Linked DNA regions of Mus musculus: all the other regions are reported to be linked to region 3. The links are microRNA targets in miRTarBase. Many come from high-throughput screens and were not tested one by one. Region 3 holds a microRNA gene; each other region holds the end of a gene's coding sequence.

Evidence for each region. Region 3 holds the annotated microRNA mmu-miR-1187 (UAUGUGUGUGUGUAUGUGUGUAA, at 2,222-2,244, opposite strand). A microRNA usually pairs through its seed, bases 2 to 8, with sites in the 3' UTR of a target mRNA and lowers its output. Matches are read on the target gene's strand: a 7mer-m8 pairs with bases 2 to 8, a 7mer-A1 pairs with bases 2 to 7 and ends in A, and an 8mer does both.
Region 1: the mRNA of Sike1 is a reported target of mmu-miR-1187. Seed matches in the 3' UTR shown: 7mer-A1 at 3,965-3,971 and 8mer at 3,925-3,932.
Region 2: the mRNA of Onecut2 is a reported target of mmu-miR-1187. Seed matches in the 3' UTR shown: 7mer-A1 at 4,384-4,390, 7mer-A1 at 2,130-2,136, 8mer at 526-533, 7mer-A1 at 520-526 and 7mer-A1 at 476-482.
Region 4: the mRNA of Rorb is a reported target of mmu-miR-1187. Seed matches in the 3' UTR shown: 7mer-A1 at 3,450-3,456, 8mer at 2,634-2,641 and 7mer-m8 at 15-21.

The regions. Positions count from the first base shown.
Region 1 is chr3:103,001,541-103,006,609 of GRCm38, reverse strand. Sike1 (suppressor of IKBKE 1) reads right to left here. Exons shown (of 5, transcript NM_025679.3): 5 at 2,696-4,902. The coding sequence ends at 4,801. Among named protein-coding and RNA genes, the nearest start is that of Sike1, 8.3 kb to the right of the region's middle.
Region 2 is chr18:64,385,999-64,391,067 of GRCm38, reverse strand. Onecut2 (one cut domain, family member 2) reads right to left here. Exons shown (of 2, transcript NM_194268.2): 2 at 1-4,723. The coding sequence ends at 4,437. Among named protein-coding and RNA genes, the nearest start is that of Onecut2, 48 kb to the right of the region's middle.
Region 3 is chr5:82,796,743-82,801,819 of GRCm38, forward strand. It overlaps Mir1187 (microRNA 1187), which reads right to left and starts at 2,323; the gene lies at 2,202-2,323.
Region 4 is chr19:18,933,702-18,938,770 of GRCm38, forward strand. It overlaps Rorb (RAR-related orphan receptor beta), which reads right to left. Exons shown (of 10, transcript NM_001043354.2): 10 at 1-4,334. The coding sequence ends at 4,179. Among named protein-coding and RNA genes, the nearest start is that of Rorb, 170 kb to the right of the region's middle.

The sequences.
Region 1 (5,069 bases), not on the chromosome of region 3:
GAAAGTGCTTCTGTTGAGAAGTGTGGACCCTTGGGCCCCTGGGGTAAATAAAAGCAGGATTTTAAAAAAATGAGCACCACTGCCTTCACCGTAGACCAGGCTAGAACTCAGAGATCGGTGGGCCTCTGCCTCTCTCCTGCTGGGATTAAAGCATGCCTTTTTGTTTGTTTGTTTTTGAGGCAGGGTCTCACTATATGACCCTAACTGTTCTGGGACTCAATATGTAGATCAGGCTCATCTCTGAACTCATAGAAATCTATCTGCTGCTAACTCCAGCCAGAGTGCTGGGATTAAAAGTGGGCTAAGTGGCCTGCCTAGTACTGGTAATATTTGGGTTTTGCTTTTGTGGTGCCTGAGGTTTGAGCCAGGGCTTTGTGTATGCTAGGCAGGTGTTTTCCCCACACTGGTAATAACTGAGTTCTTAAATTAGGTAATGAATGCATGATAATGTGCCTGCATTGCCATCTTATCCCTTTTTTTTGGGGGGGGGGTTGTTTTGTTTTATTTGGTTTTTTTGAGACAGGGTTTCTCTGTGTATCCCTGGCTGTTCTGGAACTCACTCTGTAGACCAGGCTGGCCTCGACTCAGAAATCCGCCTGCCTCTACCTCCTGAGTGCTGGGATTAAAGGCGTGTGCCACCACACCCAGCGCATCTTATCCTTTTATAAATGCCCAATATTACATAAAAATTTAAGTGCAAAAATAAGCACTGATAACATTTATATGTGCATGGTTGTTTAGAAATTTGTTCCTGATCAGATTTCTTAGATATAGGCAACTCAGGCTAATTTCAACAAAAATGGTTTTATTAATTTCATTAAAAATATTTCTCAGGATCTCTTGGGCAGCCAGGAAATGAGACTTAAGAGGTTTGCGTCTAATGCTATAAGGATGTTTGCAGCAAGTCTCCAGTCTCCACTGCATACACTGGGTCTTCCACAGCTGCCTGCTAGCACTCCAGACCTGCTCTGCTGCTCTTCTATGGAGCCAAACCCAGCAGCAGCCTGTGTTGCTGGTCCCCAGGTTCAGAGGTTTCTGTGTGGCTCCCAGCTTTGCCATATCACTAACTTTGAAATTCAAAGCAGCTGAATCTTTCCTCGATGCCAAGGTGGCTGGGAAACTGGGTAACTGGTACTTCCAGATTCTTTAGGAAAGAGGGAGGCTCTGCCACGTTAGGCAGGGAAACTTTACCCAGGCATGGGTAGGACATTGAGCAGTCAGTAAAGAAATAACAGTGTCCACTACAGCTCATTTTCTTAGTGACTCAACGTAGGCATCCCTGCAGCTAATAATTTTAATTTGTTAAAAATTATATTTACGGTAAAATGCCTTACTGTAACAATCAGGCCTTACTGTTTTCTCAGTATGATTTCTCTTTGCTAAGAGGATACTGATTTTATTTGGCACGGCTGTGTACCTAGCTTCCTTTGCAATTAGACATGTCTATTTAATAAGTGAGGCAGATATGGAGAGAACTCCATTAGAATTTCTGGAAACGTTTGCTTTCCCCATGTGTCTGTAGTGTAGGGCAGGCAGTTTTCTATTTTTTCCCTGTCTTCCACATGGGCATGACATCTGACACAGCAGTAGCCTATAACAAGATAACAGCATCACAGACGGAGCCAACGTGGAAAAAGGCACCCTGTGCAGAAATGCACCCTTCCCTCCACACTGAGGACCACTCACAGGCACAGCATTCTAGGGACCATGCAGCAGCGTGAACTAAACAGAAGTCACGGTATTCACAACACACAGGCCATAGTGTCTCTCTTACCCTGTTAATTAACCTGTTGACTGACTTTGCCGATCAAGATCCATGAACTCCACAGTTATGTGCATTTAAAGGTGCCTTAACTTGGTCCTTAAGAAATGTGCTGAAGAGTGCCTGAGTGTGATTCTTGGCTCCACTTTGGACAAATTAGAACCTTCTAGTATGTATGGAACTGTAAAGAACTGAAGCGGGGATGCTGTGTCAGCTGACACAGAAAACCCCTTAGTATAAGGAAGTAACCATTGCAGGACCCCCTGGACTTCGATTCTGCAGCTGTTTTCTATGTTTTCTCCTAGCACCACCCCTCCCCCACCCCCTTCCCTGGTCAACTTTTAGATTCTCAAATAACACAGCCCTTTCTGTGCTGTATCCTACACTTACATCTGATGTAACACACTGCATCAAAATTATCTGCACAACATTTTGTTTAGTTTTTTGAGACAGGGTCTCTTGTAGCCCAGGCTGGTTTTGAATTTACTATGTAGCCAAGAATGACCTTGGATTTCTGCTCTTCCTGCTTCTGCTCCAAATTCTGGGATTACAGGCATGTGCCACCATGCCCAATTTATCTGCTGCTATCGGGCAGGCAGCATAGAGGGGAATAGCGCTGCTATATCCCACCCCTCTGTAATATCCCTTTACCACTCTTCTCATTTTAAAGTCGGTTTGTTTTTAACTCCTAGTGAAATAATTTGCACAGAACATCATACACAATTTATCTGTTTGTGTGTTGTAGGTCAGAAGGTAATTTTTAGAAGTTGGTTCTCTCCTTCCCTCATGTGGGTTCTGAGGAATTGAACTCAGGCCATCTGACTTCATGGTAAGCACTTAGACCTGCTGAGCCATCTCCTAGCCCTAACAGACATGTTCTTAAACCGGTACTGCCGTTTTCTGGAATGATTATTAAGATGTAAATTCCAGATTCCATCCATAAATTTCTATTTCATTAGGTGCATTTTAAGAAACATGGAAATAGACTTCAGTGGTAAATTATACATTCAGGACTTCTGCAATGAATAGGTTGTTAATGTGCTTTTCAAAGGTTTATACTGCTGAATATATTGAATAATTGCAAGCTGCTTATGACATCTATGTCATGAACACTTGCCATGGTTGCTATGTATGTGAATATGTGAAAAAAATCTCCTATACTTCTTTTTGCTTTTTTCAAGACAGGGTCTCCCTGTGTAGTCTCCTGGGACTCACTAGGTAAACCTGCATGTCCTCGAATTCAAGAGATGTGCCTCTGCCTTCCAAGTGCTGGGATTGCAGGTGTACATCGCCACTGCTCAGCTAAACTTCCTTTTTTTTTCCAGCTCAACTTCTTAGACTCATTTCTCAGTAAAATGAGCAAATCTTCTCAAAAAGGTTTTTATTAGTTAATATAATTTCATACTAAAATTTTATACACTAAATACTTCCACCCATTGCAAGAGATATTAGCATCTTCACACAAGTGTGAAACATTCTTTCTCCATTCAATGTGCTAGCTCTGCAATGCCTTCACAGCACTAACACCAGGCAGAATTTATACGACACAGGGCACCGAAAGCTTGCTCTACCCTCAGGACTGCAATGGAGAGATTCCTCTGAAAGCTAGATGCAAAGACCTTTGTAGTGAGTGCTACGGGAACAGAAGGCAGATAAAGAAAGGGACACCATGCTCACTGCTGAAATAGACTGACTGATAATGCTCTCACTGTGATGGGACCTGCTGTGACAGCTGACAAGTGGTAAAGGAACCCACCCCTGAATGGGTTTGTGGAGTACACACTTGGGGCCCTTAGGGGAAACATCAAGGGGAGCAGCTGGAGTGAAAGTTAACATGGGAACAAAAACCAAAGTCCATCTGGGCAAACAGTGCAAAAGGAATTATTTATAAACCTGACATATGAGCAAACCAAGATGAGAAGGAACTGACAGGGAGCTATTAGAATCTCAGGTTGTTCTTGATTGCCTGAATGCATGGCATCAGGAATGTGGTAACTTTCTGTGAGTAATAAAATGCTTCCATGAGAAAACCCAGCAGATGGAAAGACAGCAAAGTACTGATGCCGGTCTAAACCATCCCAGTGGTGCTGCTCTGCACAGCACAGCACAGCACAGCTGTGTGTCCATGAAAGTGCCTAGGAGCTAGGAACCTGTGAGTGAGGTATGTGTGTGTGTGTGTGTGTGTGTGTGTGTGTGTGTGTGTATGTGTATGTCTCATACAAGGCAACTACCTAAGCCGAAGACTCCTTAGGCAGACAGAATGGAAAACTACTTGGTCAAATAAATAAAAGCTATTTTTGGCATTTAAGTCCAATGTACATGTACAGTCATGTACATCTAATAGCTCCCTGTGCATGATGGGGCAGGCCCAAGTTCCTCAGCACTCTCTGAATGACTGTGGATCCTTGAGGAGGAGGAGGAGCAACGCGAACCCGGCTTACTTGTTTTCAAGCGTATTTCCTGGGGACTAATAGATTCTCTCAAATTAAGAGCAAAGACACCTGACCACAAAGTGCCAACTCCTAGCACCGGAGAGGATCAAACCCCATGGATGAGCGACGTCACTCAGAGACTCTGCCAATCTGCTTCTTTGAAGTCATGCTACTTTTACAAGTGGAAGAAAAAAAAAATCTAGGTTTACACCAAATATGTATTTTTAAAAAGTTAAATCTTTGAAAAACTCTTAGAAGGAATTTTTATAATCCTATATAAAATAAAATCCTGGCTTATAATAAAAGTGTTCAGTGTTTCCAAGCTGTGAAAAACAACATTGAACTGCAGGTAACAGTTTATAGAGATTCCGGACTAGAGTGACAAATGTCATCTCTGTCCCAGCAATGGGGGACTTGTCTAGTTTCACTAGTACACCCCAAACTAGTTAGTGGACAATGAATACCAAGTGGCAATTCTAAACTGCCACCCCATACCTCTACCCAACACTAAGTCAAGTCTGCGGCAGGACTCTTGGACACGGCAGGAGAGGAGGGCACGGCTTCTCGCTCTGACGGGCAAGCTGTAGCCAGCCTTCGGAAGTCCAGTTACTTGATGGTCTGAGAGGCAGGAGCCACAGAGCTTTCTTTTCCAACCTGCAGAGATTCACTGCTGATGGACAGTAACTCTCGAAGTTCCTTATTTTCAAGCTGGGGAGAAAAGATATTTCCTGTGTTTTAATTGTTAAACTATGTCAGAACATACTATTTTGGCCCAGAAAGAGGAAAAAAAAATTTTTTTTTGGCTTTTCTTTTTTAAGATTTATTTATTATTATACATAAGTACACTGTAGCTGTCTTCAGATGTGCCAGAAGAG
Region 2 (5,069 bases), not on the chromosome of region 3:
CTTTTAAATACTGGAATTCAATTTTATTGTTGTCATTGTACTTTTAATATATTAGCTGTCCTTTAAAAGAATTCTAAGAATGAGGGAATTGAATCTTAGAATCATTAAAATCACATGGGAAACAAAAATAGAGCTTAGTTATAAGAAGGCTTAAGGAAAAATATATCTTTCACTCAATATTCTTTGGGTTTCTGTCACCCTATGAAGATAAAATTTGCTTGTGAACTATTCTTTCCCAGCATCCCACTGTTGGTGATGGTGGCAGAAGCCTGGAACTTTTTTTGGATTAAGAATGTAGACTGTAGGCTATATTCAAGTCCAAATGGTTATTTTCTCTGAGACTGTTATTTAAAATAAAAAATTTAAAGGCTTTGAGAAAAGACAGTGGATTAAATTCTATAACCTTTCAGTATACTACTTTTTCTTTCAGCTACCTAGCAAAACGATACTTTGTATGACCTGAAATTTGGATACATATGTGTACAGATGCACATACACATATAATGTGTATACACATTATATGTGTATGTGTGTGTATAAGCAACTTTTGAACACAAGTATTCTCTGAGATAGAAAAGACATTTATCAAGAGTTCCTAGAGGGGATTTCTTGCCTTTTTCCTTCATGCCATCATCTTCCAAGGATGCAAAGCCTCAAATGCTGCTAATTAGTGTCAGTCACTAACCAAAGCAAGATGCTTTGTTCTGCAGTCTGTACTCAAGCAGAACCACCCATTCCATTGTCCACAAGTCACAAAGACTCATTTAGTAAGATCCAAGTTAATATTCATCTGACCCAGCTGAAATGGGAGCAAGCCTCTGAGGAAATACGCTTTTTCTTGGTCATTTGACCATAAGTTCATGGATTATAAGCAAGGAACAAGGGGAAAGTGAAAGGAGCACTCCCTAGATAGGACAAATTAGAAAAATAACACAGGGTCCTATTCTCTCAGCTCTAGATATGATGTGCCCACCACAGAACTGCCCACATTGGGTGAATAAAGAGGCAAGGCAGAGGATGCGGCTCTCCAGGGACAGGAATCTGGAACTCTCCTCACAGTCTACTGAATGCCTTTTCTCCAGGACTGAGATACCTCCCTTCAACAATCCCGATCGACCCCAGTGCCAGCTATGGTTGCACTCAAGCTTGTCAGTGCAAACTGGTAATTACTACCTCGAGGAGACCTGATCGACCTATTGCAATAGAAGTTGGATTTCCCCAGGAGAAGCCTCGGTTGGATCTACTCACTGAGAGGAATCTAGAATACTCTGGTGGATAATGGTATCTACTGGAAAATGGATTTCTGGTGTTTTGCTCCACAACAGATGGGAATGAATCACCAAGCCTTCCCAATGATGATAGATGGTAAGTTCCCTACTGCCAGCAGCACAGCTCTGAGCTAGTCTGATGGATAAACCTTGCTTATCATGGTTGAGGCATAGGATAGAGATGACTACAAATAAAACCCACTTACATCATGAATCCATTCATCAACAGGTTACATGTAGAAATGCTTAAATGGACTTTCAACTTTTACCATAAACTTACATAGAACTATGAATACTGCCAGACAACCACAGTGGCTATTTAACTCTGGAATGGCATGAGAAATGAGCACAGTTGTGAAATGAATGCTTAACAAATGGTGCATACGAGAAAACAAATAGTTGGACAACAAAAATTTTGGGTTGTCACCAATGCGGGTTAATCTATACGTGTACTCGTACATTTAATATATATATATCTATATATCTTTCTTTAGAAATGCAACTTTACAGCTGATCTTTTTTTTTTAAAAAGCTAATAGAAAAGTAGAAACTGGCGATTCTTTTTACATGTTTCCCCACCCCCAAATGAAGCCCTGTTAACATGTGGCAATCACATGAAGATGAGGTTGTAAATTTCTCTATAAATTCTTTGGTTCTGGAAAGGGCGGATCACCTAGACTCCTACCCCTGATCCTTGCTCCCCTTCCCTCCCCTAATGACAACACTGAACACAGAAGCAACCAAGTCTAAGGGTTAAGCCACAGACATTCAAGCGACAATCGTATTTCCCATGCTCTGCTGAGGAGAGAAAGGGACACCTTTCAGTATCCCGACATCTCAAGTTTGGAGTCCATGGAACTTTATGTGTAGGGGGGAGATTCCATGTTGGGTAAAAGCCATAAAACAAAACTAAAGGGAAACAATAAAATCAAACAAATGACCCTTTCCTTTTGTTGCTTAAAGAAACAAAATCGATTACCTTTGTACAGATCAATGACGCTATAAGTATTTTAGCCAGGCAAAAGAAGGTAATGAACTGAGACAAAAAGGTGTGAGAATCCTCATCTTTGGTATTGTAGCTGTTGAGGTTTCTGTTGCTCTGTTTCCATGTTCTTTTGAAAAACTGCATAGGCACAAATTAAAGACAATCTTCAACGTTAAGATTACCGAGTGAGTTGTCATATGAAGCAGCAGCCATTGAGGCTCGTCTGTTGATTTGTGTCTCAACCCTTTCTTTCAAATCTGCTTCCAAAAAATAAAAAAATAAAAAATAAGAGCGTCCCAAAAGGTCTGTTTGAACACAGTGTGTCTTCGGTGGTTTTGTTGTTTCTTTCATTCTAGCGTGCTTTTTCTGTTGATGGTGATTTCCAGTGATTGGTGGAACCATTTACTCATTCAATGGGACAGTTCTGTTTGTTGCAGAAGTAGGTGCAGAAAAAAAGTTTCTTTGGTTTCAATTAAGCAATTCATACAAAAGTCAGTCTCAAGTGTCTGTAAAGAGTCATCGAAGCTTTTGGCTTGCTCCGAACACCCCTTGGTGCCCACCTGGGGCCATTCACTGGTAAATATGCACATAGTGACCTTTGTAATCTCCCAGAGTTCTGTGGGCCCTCTTTCACTTGCTATGGGAAGGTGACCAACCAGGGCTGGCGTGGCGAAGTCACTGCCCGGATATTTGGCTAATGTCATTGATGTAGCTGGTCTGCTCAGCCAGGTGGTGAGCCCAAGACAAGAGCCGAATGCCACTCGGAGTTACAGAGGTGCTCTGATCTCTAAAAGTAATCACAGTATTTGTAGGCTAGAAAATGGCAGGTAACAAATGTCTTTGGTTTGCAGTATTCTGCTTCTTTGGTGTGCTGTGTTCTCTCCAGGTTCTGTCAGCTGTATTATAAGGATGAATCAGCAATGGAAGAGAGTTAGGAAGAGACGACAGGAAGTGGCTTATTAAACTGTTTCTTTGTAGAAAACAATAGAGACATCCCAACTAATGGGATGCGATAGGGAACAACACGGATCAGCAAGAACAAGAACAAACCACACTTGTAATGCACATAGGAGGACCTGGGTGACTTGTAAATCAAGGGCACAGTAATGATCTAAAAAAATCTAGATCTTCTTAAATGATGCATTTGCTCCTGTACTGTAGCAGTTAAATTGGCCTCCTGAGTGTGCATCTGCGCAATGTACAAACAGAGTTTGTAACAACCTGCAAAATGTGCTTGAAGCCATATTCCCAATAATTCCCTAATGACTTCACAACAGTAAAGACTGATGTAAACGGCCTTGTCAAACTGGATGCGTTGAAACCAGAGCCTTCCTTATTTCTGTATATCTTCGTTGTGCTTGATACTTTGAGCTCAAGTGAATTGACTTTTTTTTGACGGATCCAGAAGACCACATGAGATTTCCAGGAGGTAAAGAAAAGAAAAATCGTAAACTGAAATCAAAGTTTTCTAAACTATCCAATGAAAAGATGCCTGAGTTGGAAAAACATGTCCTTGGATTTTTTTTATTGATTTCCATATTTAAAACTTGTGCTCAGTAATTACCATTCTGATTTTTTTTTGTAATGTTATGGCTGAGAATTTTTAATGTACTGTGATATAAAGAGGCTAAGCACTTGGGGAGCAAATGAGGCCTTTCTTGTTAAATTCTTCTGTAGTGTTTTGGAATCCTGTGTCTATACTCAGGCCAAATATCCACTATGACTTGCAGGAAACTAGTGTTAGCAAGAGGTTGACAGGGCCTGAATAGGGCTATTGATGCTTACAGCTGCACTGAACTTGGTTGACATTGTGCTGTGATTAACTCACTCCAAGAAGGCCCCATTTGGGTCTCTGGGATGCTTAGCATACTCAGAGGATAGTGTCTGGTTCAAAGAGATTAACTTTCAGCGTGTACTTGGACTCTGTAGCCATTTAAAATGAAACAAAAGAAAATGGACACCTGGCCTATGATTACAGCTAGATTAGAAGTTTCAAGAGAATTGTGCTTTCAAGTCACCAGTGAAGGGCCCCAGCTAAGAATCTGATGTCTTTGTGATTTTTTTTTTTTTTTTTTTTTGGTTTTGGTTTTGGTTTTGGTTTTGGTTTTGGTTTTTGGTTTTGGTTTTTGGTATGTGTTGTCCTCATTTGGAGATGACTTGTGCCCAGGTGGAGAGTCCTTGCATCATGCTTTGGTACAAGTGCTGGAGGTGGATGAAGAACCCCCTGTGCCTAGGTCATCTTGCCATTTCTCCAGGCTGCGACGCCGGGCATTCATGAAGAAGTTACTGACAGTGGTCAGCTCCAGCCCAAGTTGCTGGGAAATGGTGATCTGCATCTCCTTCGAAGGGCGCTTATTTTCCTTGAAGATGGCGAAGAGTGTTCGGCGTTGGAGGTCCGTGAACACCAGGCGGGATTTCTTCTGCGAGTTGTTCCTGTCTTTGTTTGGTTCTTGCTCTTTGCGTTTGCATGCTTCAGGGGAAAGAAGAAAAGAAAAGGGAGAGGAGTCAGTGGTACTGGGAGGACCCAACAGGGAAGGCAAGCCATTGAAAACATGGACCAAGTCATAGAGGGGATGGAAACTATTCAGCTTTATTGAATGGATTGCCCACATGTCAATAGCAAGCCAACCCAGTTCATCTTGGTGATGGAGGACATCAGTTAGCAAGCGGGGATTGGAAGAAAGGAGAGCCATGGCTGCTTCACATAGTCTAGTATGGATCTGACTCAACTTGTTTCCTTTCTCTTTTACTCCCATCCCTCTGTGCCTGCTTAACTCTGAAGTCAGCTGTGGTGAAAGAGGTGAAGAAGCCATGCA
Region 3 (5,077 bases):
AAATTGGCAAGCCAGGCAGTGGTGGCGCATGCCTTTAATCCCAGCACTTGGGAGGCAGAGACAGGAGGATTTCTGGGTTTGAGGCCAGCCTGGTCTACAAAGTGAGTTCCAGGATAGCCAGGGCTATACAAAGAAACCCTGTCTCAAAAAAAAAATGGCAATGTTACTTTTATTTCTTCAGATATATGTGTCCTGTTTGGCATCCTCACTGATGTTAAGAGATGAGTAAGGCTGTCACTCAGGGGATGGATTTCAAGGAGCGGGTACAGAGCATTGTGCTATAAAGCCTTAACAGAAAGTAATAGCACAGGGAAGAACTAATGGATGTAGGGATGGGAAGGTCTGATAAAGGAGGAAATATCAGGAGGGAAAAATAAAACTAAAGACCATTTGAGGATGTAATGTGGAAATCTACCACAGTAGAAACTTCCTAAAATAAATTCATATAAACATATCAGGATATTTACCATATAGTAAATAGTTACCATATAGCACATGTTGGGTTTGGTATATTGCTATGAATACAAACACCAAATTATGAAGATCTGTTCACTAACCAGACAGATAAATTCTTGGGTGCACTGGTCCTGTGTTGTGTAAATGTTGCTCCTCAATTTAAAGCTATTGTTTAATTAAAAGTTAGAGGCTGTGAATGGGCAGAAGAGAGAGGAAGGCATGGCTTGAGTGGAAATTAAGTGAGGGGTCACTAGAGAGACTATGGGTGAGAAAGAGAGGAAGATGGAGAGGGAAGGCTGTGATCCATGGAGCTGGACCATGAGCAAGTGGCCAGGAGAAGTGCATAAATAAAATACCACGTTTCTGTGTCATTTATATGGGCTAGCTAGAATAAATTTTTCATTAACATAGACATATGGAAAACTTCAACAAATGTGTGATGAATGAGCAAAACAAAATTTTTAAGGACAGAATTCACTGATGAAAATCGTCAACATCACGAGGACTGAAAATGTTAAAGTTTAATTGCTCAGTGAAGGAATATTTGAGAGTTGACTCTGATTTTGAAAGCCCTGCTATGAATAAACACTGTTAAGGTTCTTAGGTTGGAGTCAGCACTATCCTAACTCCTGTACAGTCTGAGTTCTCAGAGACCTCTGTAAGAATCAAATAATAATCTTGAAAGAAAGCAAGACAATTGCTTATGCAACATGCTTTGTCCTGGAACAAAAGCCAGGTTCATAGTCAGGCTCATACTCCTCTTGATTTTTATTCTAACAGAGATGATGGCTGTGTTGCTTCCCCATTGGCAGAGGTATCATTTCAGTCTTTCATGATTGATATATTTAAAAGAATAGAAGTAAAACAAAAAGGAGGGGGGCAGGAGAGATGGATGCTTGGTTAAGAACACTGACTGCTTTTCTAGAGGTCCTGAGTTCAATTCCCAGCAACCACATGATGGCTCAAAACCATCTGTAATGGAATCTCTTCTGGTGTGTCTGAAGAGAGCAGAAGTATACACACATAGATAAAATATACAAATTAATCTTAAAAAAAAAGAAGTGAAAAAAATAAGTTGGAAAGCTGGAAGGGGTCAACAGCCTAATCATTTAAGGTCTAATATTAAGCAGGGATCTTATGCAAATAAAGTTTTAACTCAGTGGTGAATTTAGCATTTGTATTGATGGGGAGATGAAAATATTTTAATTCCTTATCAATCTTTTATAGTATCTGAGAAAAAAATGCTAAAATGTGAACTTAATGTTTTTGTACCTCAACTAAAGTGAAGCCAGTATTTTGGTCATAAAAATTAACTTTAAAATAAACCATTATCAAGAAGTGTTGATCTGTGTTGAGGAAATGCTGTAACATAAATTTAAACACAGGCTTGATTAGAAAAAATAATTATTAGGGAAAAAGATTGCACCAATGTCTGAATGTTGACTTCTCGGGAATCAGCTTAATTTTTTTGTAAGAGCCTTATGCTACCATACTGACAACTGAAGGATATCTCAAAGTTTTGCTAATAGAGATTTAAGTGAAATCATAGGGTGATTGCCAGGAATTAAGTACAATTAGAGCTTGCAAAATAAAAGTAAAAAGTAGCCCAGAATAGTTAAGGGAGTTCGGATGTTCTCTTGGTAAATAATCTTACACTCTTCTTTGTGAGATCACCAGAAAATATCAGGAAATGAAAAGTATCACAGTGGAAGGCTACATATGCTCAGATCTTAAGCATGGCTCATTACTATTTTAACATTGTTATTTACACACATACACACACACATATATATATATATGTGTGTGTGTGTGTGTGTAAAAATAAATTGTGTCTATAAGGAAAACAGTTCGGTTTAATACTATATGACAGATACTACACACAAAAGAAAAAAAAAGAAAGAAAGAAAGAAAGAAAGAGGCAGAGAGAGACAGAGAGAGACAGAGAGAGAAATGAAGACCTAGAAATGGACCCACACACCTATGGTCACTTGAACTTCACAAGAGCACTAAAACCATCCAGTGGAAAAAAGACAGCATTTTCAACAAATGGTGCTGGCATAACTGGCAGGTAGCATGTAAAAGAATGCGAATTGATCCATTCTTATCTCCTTGTACAAACCTCAAGTGTAAGTGGATCAAGGAACTCCACCTAACACTGAAACACATAGAGGAGAAAGTGGGGATAAACTTCAAAGATATGGGCACAGGGGGAAAGTTCCTGAACAGAACAGCAATGGCTTGTGCTGTAAGATCGAGAATCAACAAATGGGACCTCATAAAATTGTAAAGCTTCTGTAAGGCAAAAGACACTGCCAATAAGACAAAAAGGCCACCAACAGATTGCGAAAGGATCTTTACCAATCCTAAGTCAGATAGGGGGCTAATATCCAATATATATAAAGAACTGAAGAAAAAGGGCTCCAGAATATCAAATAACCCTATTAAAAATGGGGTACAGAGCTAAACCAAAGAATTCTCAACTAAGGAATACCAAATGGCTGAGAAGCACCTGAAAAAATGTTCAGCATTCTTAAACATCAGGGGAATGCAAATCAAAACATCCCTGAGATGTTACCTCATATCAGTCAGAATGGCTAAGATCAAAAATTCAGGTGACAGCAGATGGTGAGAATGTTGAGAAAGAGGAACACTCCTCCATTGTTTGTGTGATTGCAAGCTGGTACAACCACTCTGGAAATCAGTCTGGTGGTTCCTCAGAAAATTGGACATAGTACTACCAGAAGATCCAGCAATACCTTTCCTGGGCATATACCCAGAAGATGTTCCAACTTGTAATAAGGACACATGGTACACTATGTTCATAGCAGCCTTATTTATAATAGCCAGAAGCTGGAAAGAACCCAGATATCCCTCAACAAAGGAATGGATACAGAAAATGTGGTACATTTACACAATAGAGTACTACTCAGCAATTAAAAACAAAGAATTTATGAAATTCTTAGGCTAATGTATATATCTGGAGGATATCATCCTGAGTGAAGTAACCCAATCTCAAAAGGACACACATGATATGCACTCACTGTTAAGTGGATATTAACTGAGAAACTTAAGACTACCTAAGATAAAATTGGCAAAACACTTGAAACTCAAGGAGAAGGAAGACCAAAGTGTGGATACTTCATTCCTTCTTAGAAGGGGGGAAAATACTCATGGAGGGAGTTACAGAGACAAAGATCAGATCAGAGCCTGAAAACAGGACCATCCAGAGACTGCCCCACCTGGGGATCCATTCCATATACAACCACCAAACCTAGACACTATTGCATATGCCAGCAAGATTTAGCTGACAGGACCCTGATATAGCTATCACTTGCGAGGCTATGCCAGTGCCTGGCAAATACAAAAGTGGATGCTCACAGTCATCTATTGGATGGAACACAGGGGCCTCAATGAAAGAACTAGAGAAAGTACCCAAGGAGCTGAAGAGGCCTGCATCCCTATAGGATAAAAACAATATGAACTAACCAGTACCCCTGAGAGTATATCTGTAGTTGCATATGTAGCAGAGGATGGCCTAGTAGGCCATCAATGGTAGGAGAGGCCCTTGGTCTTGCAAAGATTATATACCCCAGGACAGGAGGAGAGAGAGAGAGAGAGAGAGGTGGGGAGAGGGGGAGAGAGAGAGAGAGAGAGAGAGAGAGAGAGAGAGAGAGAGAGAGAGAGAGAGAGAGAGAGAGAGAGGTGGGGAGAGGGAGAGAGAGAGAGAGAGAGAGAGAGAGAGAGAGAGGTGGGGAGAGGGAGAGAGAGAGAGAGAGAGAGAGAGAGAGAGAGAGAGAGAGAGAGAGAGAGAATATTGACAGTACCTAGTCAAGTTTGACCAAGTATGACTAAGTTTGTATTTTGACTGTCAGCTGGCAAGATAATCCAATTAGATTCCGAAGTTAGGATCTCCTTACCATTATCATATCACAGTAATTTCCCTAGACTTGTTCTTCTTCTTAAGTTAACCTGGGATTCTTTTCTTTATCCAAGCTCCATGTCCTAACTAGTTTTATCTTAGTGGTACAGTATTACTGGAACTCCCCAGCTGTCCATGATAACTGAACTGAGTTTTCTTTGTCCATTTCCAGCTCTTAATAACTACTCGTTTGGAGCTGAGACAAAAGGATGGAACAACTAGAGACTGCCATATCCAGGGATCCATCCCATAATTAGCCTCCAAACGATGACACCATTGCATACACTAGCAAGTGTTTGCTGAAATGACCCTGATATAGTTGTCTCTTGTGAGACTAGGCCGGGGCCTAGCAAACACAGAAGTGGATGCTCACAGTCAGCTATTGGATGGATCACAGGGTCCCCAATGGAGGAGCTAGAGAAAGTATCCAAGGAGCTAAAGAGATCTGCAACCCTATAGGTGGAACAACAATATGAACTAACCAGTAACCCGTAGTTGTTGACTCTAGCTGCATATGTATCAAAAGATGGCCTAGACGGCCATCACTGAAAAGAGAGGCCCTTTGGACACACAAACTTTATATGCCCCAGTACAGGGGAACGCCAGGGCCAAAAAATGGGAACGGGTGGGTAGGGAAGTAGGGGAGAGGGTATGGGGGACTTTTGGGATAGCATTGGAAATGTAACTGAGGAAAATATGTAA
Region 4 (5,069 bases), not on the chromosome of region 3:
AAGTTTCCCTTCAGATGTGTGCTTAGGAACTACTGCTAACTACAGAATGGTGTTTGTCAGAGTAGAGACATTCTTGCCTGAACCTACTGCCCTTTGTGGTAATTTTATTAGAAACAAAAGTGAATATGGGCAAGAAAAACCCCCTAAAATAAAAAAAAAAAAACCAACCAAACAAAAGCCAGGAAAAATGATTTGCCAGCACTCAAAAATTTCCTGTTTGTGGAATAAACAGGATGTGGACTTACACCGTCATTACTCATTTCTGGTGTTTATGGGGGAGAGGCAAGTAAAATTTTTGGTTGTCCTTAGGACCCATGTATTGGATTTTAGAATTTGAGCCCCCTTACACATAGTACTATGAAGAGGCAGTAAGAGTTGGCCATCCATCTGCAAGGCTTTCTACAAATAGCTCAGCTTGTCTGCTGGGATGTAACCTGCTTGATTGATAAGGCAGCCATGATATAAATGCACTGATGGCCCCTGATGCCTACCATTAATACTCAGTTGGGTACAATGCAGAGTCTTCCAGCTGCTGCCAGGGGAATCTAATCGCCTAAGACCACAGTATTCTCTGCTTTTTTACTTGGAGGTCTTTTAGCCCAGAGCCTTGAAGAAAGAAATAAAACAAAGAAAATGCAGAGTGTGTTTGGAAAGTCTATCCTGACCCTCAATGTACTATCAGGAAAAAAAAAGAGCCCCAGAAAAATGTTCCACAAAGATAGACCAATTCACAGACAATGTGGCCATTTGTAACTGCCAACCAAGATTTGAAATTATTCATTTTTATTCAAGATTTGTCTTTCTTTCTACAGAGTACAGAGGCACAGCGTTTGTTTTGCTCAATTGCCTATCAGCTCTGACCTCTGACCCTTAGATCAGACCCTGTATTTCCTTTGCTAAGGATTTACACAGGAAGCCTGGATTAATTGGGAGATATGTGGGGGGGGGGGGGCAGTCTTGTTATCTTGTTCCTTGCTCATTCTAGAGAAGGGAACTAATGTCTCTACTTGGGTAGAACTTCTAGGCAGGTTCAAAGAAGAAAAAGAAGTTCATTCAATTTTCTGCCTTAAGCCACTGTGGCCTCTCTGAAGCCTGTCAGGGAGGGTCTCTCGCTGACCTGTTCAATTTATGGCATTTACATTTTGTTTTCAGTTTCCTGTTTTGCCCCTCCCCCTTCTCGACGCACTTTTTTTTTTTTTAAATGAAGCATCCCTGAGCAGATTCAGTGCAACATCTGCATCAAGCAGTGATTGTCATCCTTGAGGTTTAAAGGAGACTTCAGAGCCCAGTTCCTTCTTCCAATGTTCACCTCATCCTAGCACATTCTGAACATTGGCCCATTCTCAGGAAAAGGAACAGCTTGCTGAGACTGTGTGTGGTAAAGAGAGTTTTTGTTGTTGTTTGGTTTTGTTTTTGTTTTTTACTGAAATTTCATGTAGTCAACTGAGATGTTCAAAGGGCAGTGTTTAAAGGCTTCCTTACCGTTAAAAACATGACTTCTCTTTAAAGGGAAAACTCGGCAACTGAAGCCAAAACTGGAGCTCTCTCCTCTGGGTGGAAAGTGGGCTGAGCCGGTCCTAGTTACCACTGTTTGGTTCTGGTTCAGTTCCTAGCTCTGTTTCCTGTCCCTCTGCTTCAAAAGGTTCATGCCATCCCAATGAAAGGCTAGGGCTAGTGGAAATGACACAATTTCAAAACCAGTATCTCCTGAGGCAAATGTGGGGAACAATCTCTTTCCTACACCACCCATGGGGCAAGGGAGGAAAAAAATTCTTAGCTACTTCATCAATTGAGCTGATGTAAATCCTCCAAGGTAAACTGAAGACAACAAATGATTCCCCTTTGCAGCCCAGTGGGATCTTCAGGCTGACAATGGGAAACACTGGGCCAACAGAACAATGAAAACAAAGTTTGACATGAGTTCAAAGCTCAAAGGGGAACATCAAGTAGACACAGTAAGCATTTCCTATCACAAGCCAATCATAAAACATATATCGCATTTGGAAACGGCTTGGTTTAATTGAGTGCCTTCCATTACCCTGTTTTCCTAGCAATCAGTAAAGTAATCTTTCCATTAGAAGGAAATATGACTCTTGGAATTAATTCTTTATACAAAGAGCTAGCAGGAGTGACATTTACACCAAAAAGAACTGAGTCCCTGTAGCAGCATAATAAGCAGTCTACAGCTGTCTTCTCAGAACCAAAGGTAATTTGGTTCAATGTAGTTAAATTAATTGAATATAACAGTGGTTGAAAAAGAGATTCATTATTTTAAAGTCTTTTTGTTTTCCCCCAATGGCTTGGAATTCATCAATCATGAGGTGAGAAAGGCCCCTGTTTTCTGAAAGGCAAGACTAACACTACTGTGCTCTGATCATCCACTGGAGTTCTGAGGCATCCTGAAGATGACTCTCAATCCAGAACTTTGAGAGAGCATAAGGGACTAAAAATGACTCAAAAAAAAAAAAAAAAAAAAAAAAAAAAAAAAAAAAAAAAAAAAAAAGAAAAGAAAAGAAAAGAAAAGAAAAGAAAAGAAAAGAAAAAACAAACAAACAAACCCAGAAACCCAAACCAAAAGACCCAAGTTTCTACAAAGCGGTGTGTGTGTGTGTGTGTGTGTGTGTGTGTGTGTGTATGTGTGTGTGTCTGTGGGTGGCTGTGTCATCTGTGTGCATGTTCGTGCGTGTGTGTGGCTTAGACTAGTTCATACTAAAGACCTAGGCCTTCCAGGAACAGAGAGAACAAATAGCTTCTAACTCATGCCTTTCTGGTGCTTAATTTTGTAGGAAAGTAGGTGAAGAACCTGTATAGGTTGCCGTTCCATTCTATACATTTTAGTGGCTAAAAAATAACCAGTTTGAATAGAGGATGTCATTTATAACTGTGTAGGATAGAATTTTGGCATTGGGATATATTAGTCCCATAGACAAAAGATTTACTGTTTTCTAATCTGAATTTTTTCTATATTTTATAATATAGCATTTTGAAGTTGAAAAAACAGGCTCCCGCCTATTTTCTCATTTCTAACAAATTACCATGAGTATAATTTAGTGAATTTACTTCTTAACTTTGTATGCTCTATTTCTCTTTTTTTGTTGGGAAAATGGTTAGAAAATATCTACACAAAATGGGTACAAGGAACTTGTTTTATACTTCTAGTCAAATATTTCTAAAAACGTTGATGGTGGTGATAATCTATAGACTGAATTTTTTGTTGTCTTGAAGAAATTATAACCACCAAAGTGAAGTTTCATTCAGAATTGGATTCCAAATCCAATGTGGAGGAACCTCAATATTTTGTAATATGGTAATAAATAGACAATATCATTATCTGGTCTATAAAACAGGAAAGTGGCTTCAAATCCTTTTGGCTTCCCCTCTTCCCGGTATGTGCCATCTTGATGGGGCTTTGAAGTAATTGATAGAAATGGAGCTTTTAAAAGAACAATTATGTGTTACCCCGATTCTTTTGTAGATTTCCTTTTGCATGGGTCCTATCATGTTGTTATGGATGGATAAAAACTCTGGCTGGAAATGAAAACCCTGATTGTCTAACATAAAAGTAACATATAACAACAGCAAATCACATGAAAGCCTGACTGAACCTCCATTGCTAGTGGGCATGGTATTTTAAGCCACAGTGCATGAATACGTAATAGTCATATATAATACTCTTACATATTATATACTCATTACATACATGCACAGTACTTTCCAAGACAGTTAGTTACGAATTTGCACATGCATCAACTACCTAAAAACATAGAAATAGGTAAAGCCTAGTAAGTGGAATCGTCTTAAATTAGAGTCGAACAATCAATCAACGGGAAGAGTAATCATGGAAAGTACGGCTCTGTTTGTGTATATATCTACAATAAAATTCTATAAACAGTTGTCTCCAAAACATACCCGAATAAAATTAAAAAAGATAACACCCAGTGTCCTATATTTGTATATTTATGATCATTTCAAAAACAAACAAACAACAAACGAACAAACAAAAGAGCCCCACTCAGGTGCATATTTACATTCTTCAAACTGTAGCGGTGAAAAATATTTCTATTAAGTGCAGGACATTCCTAATGTTGCAGTAGTGACATTTTCCTTAAGTCCCCATGAACACATTGCTTTTGTCTTAACGGCGATGCATTCCATGACTCTGAGAGTTCTCGTCCCCTTCATTTGCAGACCGCAGCACAGTCAGGATTAAAGAGCTCCTTGTACAATGGAGGAAACAGTGTATTCACTATGTCTGGATGAGACTGCTTAAATACCTGCAGCTTCTCCCCATGCAAGTTGCAGACTGCCGTGATAGTTGGTATCTTGGCTATTAACTGCAGAACACAGAGACAGAGGGAGACAAAGAGGGAAGCTCGTTAGTGGACTGTCTTGTGAATTAGTGTCTTTTTGGGGACCCAGATAAAGGTAAATGGCTTTGGAAAAAGATGTTCAGAGAGAATGAAGGCTCACTTTCAGCTTCCCTTGAAAAGAAAACAAAAACATATTTCTCAGCCCATGGTAAGAAAAAAAAAAAAAAACAGAGAAGAGAAAGCAAGCAAGCCAGGAGGTCTAAGACTCCTGGTTCATTATTCTGAAATAAAATATGCAAAGGAGGCATTCTTGTTTCATGCTGGTGAGTGGGTGCTAAGCAGGCAAGTACTATGAACAGAATCCTGCTTCCTAAGAGTCAAAGACAGTGTGACAGTGTGATTCAAGGCACTGTCTCAGTCTTTTCATTTGTAAAATGGGCTTGTTAATCCTAGCTCTCTCTTTGAGTTATGTGGACTGAGTAATTGATATGAATGTGTTCAGAAATCTGCAGCTATGAAACATAATTGTTAGCTAATAGTCATATTATCCTTCATTTCCTGCAGACTTCCAGGACATGAATATTAGGGTTTTTTGTTGTTTTTAAACCTTTGGAGGATGGTAATATTAGGAAAGTAACAGCAAGTTCTAAGAGCTCATGACACTAAGGCAAAAGAGACTACCTGTGGGATGGATGGGATGTGGGAGGCATGGGAGCCAGGGAGAGAGGAGCAGGGGAAAGAGAGAGGGCAGTAGGCATG